Linked DNA regions of Alligator mississippiensis. The protein of the gene in region 2 purifies or fractionates together with the protein of the main gene of each other region. This does not show direct contact. Links are inferred from orthologs where the notes say so. Each region holds a gene or a part of one and is shown on either strand. Other genes may lie near its edges.

Region 1 (7,176 bases), on a different chromosome or scaffold from region 2:
ACTTGCACCCAGCTCAGATGTACCGCAGCGAACACAACATGCATGGACACGTGCAAAGTCACTTCATCCCAACTACCAACCTGCGTCTAGCACAGCTACTTGCGGTTCAACTCCAGAACATCATACAAGATTTCCTTCAGAATTTCTCCACATTACAGATCATGTGTCTATGCACAAGCTGTTCAAAATGAATTAATTTGGCATCTCAGATGCAATAAATACTCCTATTCGTAAAAAAAGCAGTACTTTGCAGGGATTTGTTTGCTTTAAGCCTGTGCCGATACACTCCTAATTGCTCCACGTTTAGTGGTCCTCCCATTGCCATACCACAGTGCACTGCCTCACATTTGGGTTCATCCATCTGTATGTCCCTCCACCAGTCTTGGGTTCGGGTTCCCTTGACCAGGTTTCACCTTGCTTTAAATGCTGCCATATATAGCCCTTCTTATACCAAGACCTGGGAAATTCATACATCTGGAGTCACAGACACTGCAGCAGTCACCCCCACCCATCCTCTGCCTAGTCACACACCCCTGCAGAGCTCTTGGACCCAACTGCCTTCTGGGAGTGCTGCATGTCCAGGCCACTCCAAAGAGGAGTTAGTGGACTGCAGACATGTGTGTGTTCCACCTCAGGTCATCCAAACCCAGAAATGCAATACTGAGACCATGTCAGAGTGTCCCGCTCCAGCTGCTCTAGAGGCCTCAGTTTCCAGTGTACTTGAGAACAGCTGCAGAAGGATGCCCCAATCAACATAAGCATCAATATATTTCCAGATTAAATGTATGCGAGTGGGAAGAAAAAGCTTAGGAATGGGAGCTGGAAGACACCAACAACTAGACTATATACCCAATTGTATCCATACATGAAACTTAATATTTTTTCCCTGAAAAAAAAAAAAAAAAAATCAAATCTCACAGACACCAGTACCACAGAACAACAGACATGTTTATTGTAGCAGCAGATATAGAATGAAAAGAAATTCAGGAGAAAATGGTCTAGGACGATTGTTTAATCAACACACTAAGATTTTATGTATAATTCAATGACAAGGCAAAAACTCCTCAAAAAATTCAAAGACATTTTTAATAGCTTAATAGGAAGGTTTGGCACACCTAGAGCAGGAGAAAGGCTGCAGACCCCGGCACAGAACAAGGGCTTCTCAACCGTTACACACTCAAGGTTCCCCTCTAACTTTTCTGAATGCACTAACACCCCATTTGTAAACCACTAGCTTGGAGTGCACTTGGTATGCTTTGGCACTCATTTTGTCTTATGCAATGTAGAAGGGATAAAACCAAAAGTTCTAAAATAATTAAGTGCATAAAACAAATCAGGCTAAAAGCTATGCACATAAACGAGAACAATGGCTTTGATATCTCATCTTGGTTCATTTAGAAATCTGTAAAAAAGGTATCCCTCCTGATTACTTTCAATTGGAGTTTTTTTTAGCCTAATTTCTTTCCGTCTAATACCCTTCCTTATAAAATACTTAGCTCTGCTTGACAAAATCCTATTGTTTTCCAGTGTAAATCGATACATTTCTATGAGAAATACTGATTGAAGAAAACAATTTAGTTGGGCTAAAACACCAGAGGACCACAACTTTAGTTTGATTCTCCTTACATTAGAACCTATCCTATTTGCGCTGGTTCCCATTTGCTGGTCCTCAGAGGTGTTTACAAGGTGCCCCTGGTCAGCATGCAAATAAATCTGGTTTTGCACAAGGGATTCACTGGAGCCCTGATCCACATATACCATTCCTCAACTCCTTCCCCAGGCACCTTGCAGGGCTACATCAACATGCAAAAACAGCCCAGTACCCACTGTGTCCTGGGGGGAGAATTTCTTGGAGTTCCCTCCCCTCAAGGTGTTTCCTCATCCAAGGTGCTGTAATTACAATGCGTTGGAGCAGCCTCATTGCATGTGTAAAAGCACCCAGTGCCCAATTAGTGTTTTCCAGAATTATTTTCCATCTTGTAGATGAGCACAGTGTACATGAAAAACCTTTGATTATTTTACTCTGCATAATCATGTAATTCGTATATAGCGACTACTCTGAACTTTTATGGTAATATTTTGTACATTAAACATTTATCTGTACGTAGGGAGCTTGGGGCTCCTGCTGCTTTAAGGAAAGACGAGATGCAGATGACTCAGAAGGGAATTAAATGAACCGTATGACCCAAAAAGGGCTGAGTTTGCACTGTATAAGCCCAGAGCTGGGAGGGCAATCTACCTCTGGGAGCCATGGAAAAGCTTGAATCCAGAAGACAAGAATGTCAGGCCTTATGAGAAGAGGCCAAGAGGCATGGGACTCTTCAACCTGGAGAAGCAAAGGCTCAGGAGGGACTTGGTGGCAGCCTATAAGTACATAAGGGATCTGGGAGAACGTCTGTTCACCAGGGCACCCCAAGGGACAAGGAGGTCACAAACTGCTGGAAGACCATTTTAGGCTGGACATGAGGAAAAACTTCACTGTCTGAGCCCCCAAAAGTGGTGCAAGCACCTGTTCTGGACACTTTTAAGAAACACTTGGGTGCTTCTCATCATGCTGGGATCCTTTGACCCCAGCTGACTTCCTGCCCCTGGCACAGGGGGCTGGATCCGATGATCTCGCGAGGTCCCTTCCAGCCCGACTGTCTATGAATGGACGACAGCAATCTGCCACCATGAGGGTGCCCGCCCCGGTCTCTTCTTAATCCCTTAATCGCTGCGGCGACTCGGATGTTTCTACCTGCTGACGTAGCCGTGCAAGGGGCCGGGGAAGGCGACGAGGAAACGGTATCTACGGATCAGAGCGCCAGTGAATCCCTTGTTGTGCAAAACCGGGCTATTACCCCGGCTCCCCCCCCCCCAACGACCCAAGCCGTGCGCCCGAGCCCGCCCGCCCGCCCGCGGTTTCGGGGCCGGCCGGGCCCCCCGTGAGGGCGCTCCCCGCGCGGCGGCCTGGACAGCGGGCGGCTCAGAGCCGCTGCCCCGCGGAGCTCTGCTCCCCAGCCCGACCTCGGGAGGCCCCTTGCCGCCCCCCTCCAGGACGCGGCCCGACCCCCCCGCGCGCGCTCACCCCGTCGGGCCCCTCGGCTCCCGGCAGCGGCGCGGGGCCGCAGTGCGAGCCCATAGCACGGAGCCGCCTTGGGTCGGAGCCGGCCCCGCCCCGTCGCGCCCCGCTCCCAGCCTGCCCCGCGCCCCGCCCCAGGAGGCGCATGCCTCCGGCGGCTCGAGAGCGCATGCGCCGAGGGTGGGGCTTGGGAGCCAGCTCGCGCTTGTGCCTGGCGCGGCGCAGCCCCGCCCCCAGCCGGCTCCGGGCCCCGGGGCGGGGGCGGTCCCGCGCCAGGCTGAGCCCGGCAGGACAGAGTAGGCTGCACCGCTGCCACGCGCGCCGCCTTCACGGCCGATGCCAGGGAGCGCGTCGAGTAGCGGGGGGGCAGTGCCCGGGACACGCGGGCCCCAAGGCAGCCACGTGGTAGCACTTGGCCCCGCGCCCACCAGGCTGTGAGAGGGGAGGGGACCTGGCCCTGCGCGGGGCGACCTGCCCCCACCCCAACCTGCCCCAGGGCCCTCGGCAGTGCGGCAGCATTAATTGCCGCTGCTCCCCGCTGCCCTGGTTCCCGGTCGCTGGAGAGCGCGGCACGGGCCAGCCTCGGCCCACGGGGCAGGGCTTCAGCAGGCGTGCTGGAGCGCCTCTGGCTGGATGCTCCCCCTCTAGGACCTAGGTCTGCCGCGGCTCGGGTCGGTATGGGCCATTGCTCTGAGAGACTGCCACGTCTCACGTTTGAAAGCTGCCCTCCTTTCCTGTCCCTTACACGGGACCTGCTGTGTGCACGCAAGCACAGGTCGAGCTCCAAGACCTGGGCTTTTTCCAACCGAGAGCCCGAAAGGATGTCTAAGCTGCTTCTGAGCAGCACCCAGAGTTCCTCGGTGGCTATGTAGCTGCATGAAATCTGCACTGATTTTGCCTCAGCAGAAATTTAAGAGACAAAGACACTGTCCTGTAACTGCATTTGCAGCAGGGGTATCAAACTCATCTGGACCCAAGGGCAGAAGGCCAGAAGCATAGGCTCACAGATTTCCACCTCTCCCTGGGGCCAGATCCAGTGCACACAGCACCCACCCCAGCCCATCTAGGACATGTGGACCCCACATGCTGCCAGGGGTTGCAGACTGGGCCCATGTAGAGATGTGCTATGGGTCCTGCACCCTGTGCAAGGAGGCAGCCTAGGTCAAATCAAGACCCAGGGCCTGCAGGAGGGGCCAGATGATGCAATTCCATAGGCTGAATCCAGCCTGTGCTGCAGCCTTGACACCCCTACTTCAGAGCAATTAAGCACAGCAGTCATAGATACGCTAGACATGCATATAGCAGAAGGGAGCTCTTATGGCTTAAGAGCTGGTCTGTGGCTGTGAGGGCAGAGGAGATGGAGCATTCCTTTAGAGAACAACTGGAAGATGGTACAAGTAGTTCTGTTACCTGACTTCTTCCTGAACCAATGCAGCCATAAGAGCATATGTAGCATATCTGTAAGAAGGTACAGAATATTTGCTTCTATAAGCTGTACATTTTCCCTGCCTTTTCAATTTGGGCTTGCCTACAGTCAGGTTTTATGCAGACCCAATTTGAACCCCTCACATGAATATGCTGCTCTGGTATAAATTGCAACTTGCATCAAGAGCCTTTGCTGAAATTATGCCAGTGCACAATGTTTTTATACCAGCACAAATGTGTTAATACAAATCCTCCCCCATCTCTCAACAGATAGAATCATAGAATAGAAGGACCAGAAGGGACCTGTAAGAGCAAGTCAGGTCCCCTGCCACGAGCGGGAGGTAATTGGACTCAAATGAGCTCAACAAGGTGGTTGTCCAGCCTCCTTTTGAACACCAGCAGGGATGGTGACTGCACCACCTCTGCTGGAAGTCTGTTCCAGATTCTAGTTACCCGGACAGAAAATAGTTTTTCCTTATGTCTAGCCAAAAGTTTTCCTTGACTAGCTTGTGCTTATTGGACCGTGTCTTCCCAAGGACTCCCTTTCTGAATAGTTCCACCCCCTAGATCCTAGTGTTCACCCCTGACATACTTGTAGGCGGCTATGAAGTCACCCCTCAGTCTTCTTTTACTCAGACTGAACAAACCCAAATCTCAGTCTCTCCTCATAGGGCCTATCCCCCGCCCCCTCCCCAGGCCCATGATCCTGCAGGTGGCCCTTCTCTGCACCCTTTTGAGCTTATCCATATCCATCTTGAAGTGTGGTGCCCAGAACTAGACAGTACTCCAGCTGTGGTCTTACCAATGCCAAGTAGAGGGGGAGGAGCCCCCCTCTGGATCTACCGGCAACACATCAGCTGATGCACGCCAGAGTTCTATTTGCTCTGTTGGCCACTTGATCGCACTTATGGCTCATTCAGCTTCTGGTCAATTGTCACCCCCAGGTCCCTTTCGGATGCCGTGCCAGCCAGTGGGCCACCACCCATCGTATAGATCCAGGTAGGAAGAACCTTCACCATATGAAGGAGCTGGTACTTGTCCCTATTGAACCTCATCCGATTGCATTCAGCCCATAGGACCAGCCTGCCAAGGTTGTCGTGGAGCCTTGCCCTGTCTTCAGATGTGCCCGCATGTCCCCACAGCTTGGTGTCATCCACAAACTCAATCATTATGCTTTCCACTCCCTCATCTAGGTCATTGATAAAAATGTTAACGAGCACAGGCCCAAGCATTGGGGGACACCACTGGCGACAGCCCTCCAGGGTGAGGCCACCCCATCAATTACAACTCACTGGGGTTGGTCACTGAGCCAGTTGCCAACCCACCTCACTGTAGCCTGGTCTAGGCCCGTACCCTCCTTGGTTGAGAGAATTTCATGAGAAACAGTATCAAAGGCCTTGCAAAGATATATGTGGCCAGAATATAGTCACCATGATACAGAAAAGGTGCCGAGTAACATTTCTAACTAGCCAAAATGACCATGAACCAGGCAGACCCAAAGTTCAAACACTGAATAAAATGACTGGGTAAAGTCCAGGCTGCCACGCACACTCAAACATAAGATACAGCAATGAGAAAAACAACCAACCAGCAATGTTAGTTTAAAGCTTATAAACAATCTAGGGAGCTGAGTCAACAGGGTTGAGCCTAAACTAATCTTTAAAGGTACAAGAGATGATCTTGGAAGCAGGGGGGAGGGTCAATGCAGGAGAACAAGATAGAAAATAGCCAGAAAATGCTTCCCAATCTCACTGCTGCCAAAATGCTCCTGACCTGCCTCTCCAGTGCCAGGTAATAGAAATCTTCACCACCTCAAGCATGTGTCATGTGACTGACGTGTACACAAGAGCAGCAGAAGTGGCAGTGCAGCACTAGAGGATACACCTATTCTGAAATGTGGAACCACTTTCTCCCTGTTCAAGTCAAAATAAGTTTTCTGACTGAAACCATGTGCCCCTAAGCTCCTCTACTTCACATACTGCAGGAATCTAACAAGCATCTATCTACTAGGAGAGTGAGGCTGGTGTTTTGCAGCTGGAAGTAAATGGGTCAAATGGATAATAGTATATCATGCATATTACTTTGCCCAGCTACTGAAGACAGCTGTTAGCTTTTTCTGCAAATGACTTAAGTGGTTAAGCCAATATCTGTGAGGTTATCTTCTTCATAACAGACCCTTCCCTGGGTAAATTCTCCCTCTGAGCCCCAGTTCCTCACCACCTAACTTTCCAAAGGTTTCTTCTTGGGCCCCATAAAGAACAAGGTCTGTGACCCACATTTTGAGAACAACACTTAAAGCAAGACTCACAGACTCCTTATTAACCCTGACAATAAGCTACTTGCTTGTGCTCACTTTCCAGAGTGTAAGAGCAACTTAATGGAACATGCCAATGCACCACCTACTATCTTAAACATTGTGGTACATCTCTCCTAAGTGTACCATGAAAAATAAGTGTTGATAATAGTGTAGTTGGGTGTTTTCTATGTAGGCAATACCTTGAAAATGTTAACCTCTGCAAGCCATATTTTATGTATCATATATGATGCTTCTAACACTGATACATGGAAATCTTGTTGGATTGTAAAAAAGACAATTTACACGTGTAATGTATACATTTTTTCAGTCTAATACTGCAGCTTATACAGTACACAAGGCTAGCTAGCCCAGTGCCACTATAGGGACCAAGACT
Region 2 (7,286 bases):
AATGGTTTGCCATATTTACACTCCCAACCCGTTTCTGACTCCCTCCTCATGAACAGAGCACAGGCTGTTTCGAAGCACTCTCAAACATGCACTCACCACTAAACACTTTCTTGGTTTCTTTGTGCAAGTTGGAGACTGCGATCCTTGCTGCCAGGATGGCATAGTCGGGGTGTTTGGTAGTCAGGGTCGCAGCCGTCTCCGCAGCCAGTGTATCCAGCTCTACTGTGGTAACACCGCTGTAAAGACCTTGGATCACTTTCATGGTGATCTGAGCCTGGGGAAATCAGAAATGTGGAGGTTAACAACAGAAATAAAAACATCTTTAGAGTTTAGACACACAAACATCTTTAGAGTGTTTTCTTCCAAGGCAGCTGGTGGTGGATACTATCCAAGACCAGCATCCTAGATAGAGGGTATTAAGTACAATATTTAAAGCTGCAACCCTTTCTCTGAATGCTGGAATCTGTAGGGGGAAAGAGGCAGGGGACAGATCAGTCTGGAAAGAATCAGCCTAAATACCCTTTCCCTTAGCGTCCACTCTTAGTCACGGTGAGACACAGGATAGTGAGCTAGGTGGACCCTGTGGTCTGACCCAGTATGGCACTATGTATGTTCTTATGAGACAGGATTCAGAATCAGGTCGAATACGAGTGTGATCTAGTGCAAGAATTGTCCTCTGCAGGTTTGAAATGCTCACTTGCCCTGGGTAGGACAGGCTGGCATTTTCAAACCCTGAATTAGACTGCAAGTTCTTTGAGGCACAGGTATTCTTCTGCTGTAGTTTGTCCCAAACCCAACCTAACAGGACCATGGTTCAGGACAAAGAACTTCAGAGCTACCTCAGAATAAAAAAGTCACGGAAAATTAATTTCAGTATTATTAATAGTCATATGGACACCAGGCCAGAAGTCCGGAGACTTCGACTCCCAATTCCCAGCTTTGCCAACAAGTTGCTGCACGACTGCAATCAAGTCAGCTCACCTCTGCACACAGCTGTTTCCTGGGCTGTATGTACAAAGGAGTCAATGAGGCTCTGTCCTCTTTGCAAAGCTTTGTTCAATAAAGCTGAAGAACATTATCCCCTCACTGCTACTACAGCACCGCTACTATGATGGTGCTTTACAGATGCACATAAAGACAAGACCTTTATGGCCCAAAAAGACTCTGATCTGGGGCCTCTAATTCTGCAATTTGCTCCACGTGGGAGGGCTCGCACGGTCCCACAGATCTCACAGGTACAGGGCAGAGCACTTTGCCGAATCAGGTCAGTGTCTTTTCAGTGTCAAACTGCTCAGAACAGAGCACATATCTTAATAAGAGGGTGGTTCAGTTCGGGGGGAAAAAAAGGGTATACCTTTTACTTTAATAACAGAATTCAAGGGCTTCTCTTCCACATATTCACGGAGGCAAATGCGGCAGGAGTTTAAAAACACATTTTTAAAGGTTAAAGCACTCGTTACACCATTTTAACAAACGGAAATAAGACATTTGAAATGGAGTAGCAGGGAACTTGTTTTTCTGCTTTTTAGCACCAGAAACTTCAAGCCGCATCTGAGGGACCCACGAGAAGGAATTTATAGCAGGGAAACATAGATGTATCCTCTCAGACTTTGTACCTATGGAGGAGAACAAGCCAAAACGCAAACATGTGGAAGGATTGGGCTACGAAAGGAAAGAAAGGACAAGGTGGTTGCCTTAACCAGGTGACATCTGTCACTGGTACCCTCGGGGTGGCATTTTCTGGACCCCTATTTCCATTAGAATAGTTGGTCCTAAATGTTTTCAGACCCCTCAGAAAAGGGCAGCTCTTCATTTTCCTTTGTCGTTTTTGACTACAGACAAAAAACAAGGGCGATTCTCCTGTTGCAAAGAGCTCAGCAAGCCCACAACAGGGCGGGATGTTTTTCACGCTACGGATTCCTGTTTGAAATCTCCCGGGTGATTTTGGGAGTCGTGTCTGCCGTGCTAACCCAGCGTGTCACGGCCCAGCGTCCTGGTTGAGGATCAGCGCTCTAGAGACGAACAGTTAGATGTGGCGGACAGGCACGAGGCACCGCGACAAGATCCCCCAAATCTGGCACAGCACCGCGGTCGCTTATAAGGTGCTTTCCACCCATTTCCATGCAGGCTAACCGAGGCAAAGCCAGGGGGCAAATTTCTAACAGCAAATTATTGTCTATAACAACCGCGGGAGGGAGGGATGGAGGGAGGGGTACGACCAGCAGACTCACAGGATCGACGAAGTCGGCGTTGAGCCCGTAGCAGAGCTTCTGGATGCGGGACGTGATCTTGTCGAACATGACGCGCTCGTGGCGTCCATCTGCGCGGCGCCGGGGAAGAGACAGACACGCGCCCAGACGGGCGCTAGCACACGCTGCTCCGAATGCAGCACGGCGTGACACCCCCCCACCCCAGTGCCCCCCACCCCATCAACTACCTGGAACCAGTCCAATGCCCTGGCACCCCACAACTCCCCCCCCCACCCCAGACACTGCCCCCCACCCCCATCAACCCCCCAAGACACCCCCAGACCCCATCAGGACAGCACCCCAACCCCCATCAGCCCCCCAAGACACCCCCAGACCCCATCAGGACAGCCCCCCACCCCCATCAGCCCCCCAAGACACCCCCAGACCCCATCAGGACAACCCCCCACCCCCATCAGCCCCCCAAGACACCCCCAGACCCCATCAGGACAGCCCCCCACCCCCATCAGCCCCCCAAGACACCCCCAGACCCCATCAGGACAGCCCCCCACCCCCATCAGCCCCCCAAGACACCCCCAGACCCCATCAGGACAGCACCCCCACCCCCATCAGCCCCCCAAGACACCCCCAACCCCCTGTTAAGCCCCCAGGACAACCCCCGTTAACCCCCTGGGATACCCCTCCCCCCAGACCCCATCAGGACACCCACCCCAACCCCCATGAACCCCCCACAACCCCCGTTAACCCCCTGGGATACCCCCCACCCCATTCACCCCCAGCCCCCCAGGGACCCGGGCTGCCCCACTCGCCCCCCCCCCCCCCCAGGGTCTAGCGGGGGGGGGAGGGGGCGCACCTCGCTTGATGACGTGCATGGCGGCGTCTCAGGCCGGGCCGGGTGCGCGGGTCTGAGCGGTTCCCGCTCCCGCCAAGCCGCGCTGACCCCGCCCCGCCGCCGTAGCGCGCCTCGCCCCGCCCCTTCCCTGACGCGGCCGCCGCCATCTTGGAAGCGGGCAGCGCCCCCCCCTCCCCGTCCCCATTGCCCTATCAATACTCTCTCGCACGGCCCCGCCCCGGGGGCAGCCCGGCAGGCCGCGTGCCCGTTTCCAAGATGGCGGCCGCGAGCCCGCCTCTGAGGGGAGAGCGGGCCGCGCCGGGGGGAGGGGCCAAGAGGCGGGGCGGGGCCACAGCCGCTGAAGGGTGATGGGGGGACAATTTCTGAGGGGAGGTATGTGGGGGAGGGGGATTCCCGGAAGGGGGGGGGGGTCTCTATGGTGGGGGGAGGGGCAGTGACCTTGAGGGGGAAGGGTGAATGGGGGGGTTATTTCTGAGGGGGGGAGGGGAGGTATGTGGGGGGGGGCTTACCTGGGGTTGGGGGGAGGGGCAGAGACCTTGAGGGGGGAGTGGGGGGGCAATTTCCAGGGGGGATGGGGGTGGGGGGGTGCCCCAGTGGAGGAGGGGAAGTATGTGGGGGGGCAGGGGTTCATGGTGGGGGAGGGAGACACCCCCCCCCCTGTGGTGAGCACATGTGACGCAGGACACTGTCCACCGTGGTGGCCGGGACGCGGTCACCTTTCTTTTGCGAAGCGCCATAAGCACGCGCAGCCCCCCCCCCCCCCCCCCCCCCCCCGCACACCGGCAGGACGTCATAAAGAAGTTTCTTTCCTTGCCGGGTGCGACCGAATCCATCGCTCGCCTGACGTTTTCTTTCCGTTTCTCCAGCAGATGGCACCCGAGGACTCGACAGCGTCCGTCCCGCAATTTCCCTCCCAAAAAAAAAGTAGCGCCGTTATTACGTAACAGCGGCCGGCGGCACCCAGAGACCGCGGAGACGCGAAGGGGCTGCGCGCGGGAAGCGCCGCTCTCCTCCCGGACGAGACGTGGTCTTTCTTCTAAAGCGCTTGCTATCGCGACAAGAAGCCGGGGCGGATGCGGCGAACGGAGGCGCGTGCAACCGAGGAGGTCGCGAACATCACGCGGTTGCTCCCAAACGTCTCGTAGGCAATGAGGGCAATAGACATCGAGTGCAACACCCTGTTCAGAGCAGGACCAGCCCCAATTACATCATCCCAAACAACGTGTCAGGGTGTTTTTAAACCTTCCTCAGAGGCATCTCCAGTCCAACCCCTTGCTCAAGAGTAGGACCGCCGCTAAATACATCTTCCCAGCCAAGGCTTTGTCTACCCAGGTCTTAAAAACCTCGACGGATGGATATCGACCCTGTTCCAGTACTTCACCACCCTCCTATTGAGGAAGTTTAGATATGAAGATATTAGAAAAACTTCTTCATATCTAAGCGAATCTTCCCTCGCTTAGGTAGCTTGGGAAAACAGTGCCAAGTGACTTGCTGGCACATTTGACAAATGCAGAGTCAGGGCTGAGGTGGATGACGAAGGGGAGACAAGGATCGGTGCCTCAATAGCGCTGTTAGATGGGAGGATTAAGTCGGAGATGGGTCGTGAAAGGCCTTAAAATGGTGGACAAGCGGCTGGGACTGATCTCGGGGAGAAAAGGGAGCTAGTGGTAGACACGGAAGGAGCATGCTTTTTACAGCAGTGACTCTGTCGCCATTTAAACCTCACAGCAAGCACGCTGTCTTTGGGGTGCAAAGTGCTATATACGTCAAAATGCATCCTTTCGGCCATCAGAAAGAGCCTGGTGACCAAAAGCCCTTGGTGTGCCTTCAGGTTTGGCAATCAGGAAGGACCGATGTGGACGCAGCAAACTGCACGGTGGAAGCCAGCTTGGAAATAACTGTGGGAACGTGCTTGCGCAGCCTGCCCTCCACCTCCGAGATGCGAGGTAACGCTGCAGCTCTGCAGAGGAAGTTCTCGTCTTTGTTGCTTCGTTTCTTTCCAAAATCATCGAGGTCTTTTTGATCTTGATCGTTCTGTTCCGAGCATGGTCGCACCTCAGGAGAGAGGCTGGGTTTCCTCTGCCACGGTTTAACCCGTAAGCTGTAAAATAAAACATCCTCATGTGTTACTGTAAAGACCTTCAAAGAAGACCCAGTCAAACACAGTGCAAAGGAGCTGGAAGGGGAAGATCTACGAACACAGTGTGGGCTTCAGCTGACTGAATACTGTGTCCTTTCCTCCGCAAGCTTAGTGCTCACAGCATTGCAACTATCAGAGCCTGAAACCCATTCTGGTTCCAAAAAATCCCCATGTCACATCGTTAATATGAGTGTGCTGTGAGGCCTACAGTCTCACACCAGGCTTCCTGTTAGTTCTTGCACACTGAACAGGAGTGAGTTGGGGATCTTCAAAGATGCTTGTGGTGCTAGTGAGCCAGGGCTTGGCGGTTTTCAATTGAATCAGAAACCAACCAGCGCCCTAACCGGCTGCTAGGGGACATGCTGCTGCTAGTACTTTTCCTTTCCGAAGAAGATAGGAACAAAGGACCCAACCACTTGTGCATGCTAAGCAGTGTACACCCCAGTATCCCAGCCAATGTATGCCTAGATCTACTGGATCTAGTGTAGGGGCCTGGACTGGATACTCTCTTGAGGACCTTTCTAGCTCTGCATTTTTGTTGTCATGTTCTGCCTCGTTGATGTCCCTGTGTGCTTTATGCTACCCTCCTCTGCTTCCTATCTCATCCTGTTGTATATACTGCTTTTCCTGATCAGGCTGAGCTGCTTTGCAAAAAAGAAATTCCAGATTTCTTGGGCCAGAGAAAAGCAAGGTGGAGATGACTTAAGCCCTAGGACAGGGGAGACCTGGGTTCCCATGCAAACAGTCCTCGAAGGGGACTCGACCACATAGCGATCCCTGGTAACATCCGTGACGGCCAAGAGCTCCTGAATGGACGAAAACGCCAAAGCACACAAAGATGAAGATACGGACCCCATTTTTGTCATACAAAAGTTGAAGTCCTTGGAGCAGGGACTGTCCCAGGCCTTTCCCTCTCCCATGTGAGGGATGAAGAATGGAAGTTATAAGTAGCCAGCACTTTGTAAGATCTGAGCAAGAAAGAAATAGAGACGTAGGGTCCGGTATTTTGCCACCTGGTTATTGAGGCCTCGATTCAAGGAAGCGTAGGTTCACCTCCCTCCCTGCTCAGCGCAGCGCTTCAGCAGCACAGCGGATCTGTTCAGAATGACCCGATTCCACTGTGGAAATCAGAGCACTTTATCTCTGTGGAAAGTGCATGTAAGGCATTATACTCGTCTTTGCATCGCTTTGCCCAGGCATAAATGACTTCTCAAGGTGTGGGCTGGTACAGGACAATCAGACCCAGACTACTTTTAGGGGTCAGATCCTGCTTGCCTTGATTTTGATCTTGCCTCAGTCACTTCAGCAGACCCATGAACCTCAGTGGCACCTACCAGGATTTGGGCCTTGTGTGACTGCAGAAATATCACCGTGCGACAGAAGATGCCATAAAATGGAAGTTACCACAGACAGTAAAGGGGAAGGTCTCTTTCTACTTCCTTTTTCTCCCACAGAACAGGTTTGTGGGGCCAACTTCCACTTTTCCCCTGGAGTAGGCAGCCTAGATAGCAGCCCCAGCCTAGTGGAGGAGGTTTATTTCTGCAAGAATGCTGGGGGACACGCAAGTAATTCAGATATAGATGGAGCTGTCTGCTTAGTAGGAGACTTTGCTATGGGGGGAATATGATCTCAGTCTCAAGCACGACTTTTCAGAGAAGTCTGCTGCATTAGTTTGTGTGTTGATCTGTTCTGTTTTCTATATCTTTCACCTTCCTAAGCAAAGCTGCTGAAACTAGACCTTGATAAGATGGGTACTTTCTGCTTGTTGGGACTTAGATGGGTTGTATGAGGATCTAGATACAAACTCCCACAAAATACTTGCAGAGCTCCTGACATGCCAGAGAAATACACATGTGCAAGGCAGAGCGGTTGCATCAGCTAATTAAATGCATGAATTGCTCTGGATTTAGCTCTAAATGGGCAAGTGGTGGTGTATGGCAGGGAGTCTGGAGCTAAAGAAAGTTCAGATACGGATATTCCCTGTGAGGTTTGCTGGGGAAGCAGAATAAAGCCAGGACAACGGAGATCTGGCCTCAGCAAGGATTGGGAAGGAGCATGGAGCTCACCAACTTGAATGATTAAATCC

Evidence for each region.
Region 1: the proteins of RRM1 (region 2) and RRM2B purify together in Homo sapiens (affinity purification with western blotting; 3 studies listed by BioGRID and IntAct, counting the BioPlex papers as one, with this or other methods). This does not show direct contact. The link is inferred for Alligator mississippiensis from reciprocal best matches to the Homo sapiens genes RRM1 and RRM2B.

Annotation. Positions count from the first base shown.
Region 1 is NC_081826.1:37,272,992-37,280,167, reverse strand, and holds the start of RRM2B (ribonucleoside-diphosphate reductase subunit M2 B), read right to left. Parts: upstream 3,185-7,176; 5' UTR 3,122-3,184; coding exon 3,068-3,121; intron 1-3,067.
Region 2 is NC_081824.1:481,574,714-481,581,999, reverse strand, and holds the start of RRM1 (ribonucleoside-diphosphate reductase large subunit), read right to left. Parts: upstream 3,171-7,286; 5' UTR 3,080-3,170; coding exon 3,061-3,079; intron 2,321-3,060; coding exon 2,232-2,320; intron 275-2,231; coding exon 97-274; intron 1-96. UniProt on the Homo sapiens protein: Provides the precursors necessary for DNA synthesis. Catalyzes the biosynthesis of deoxyribonucleotides from the corresponding ribonucleotides.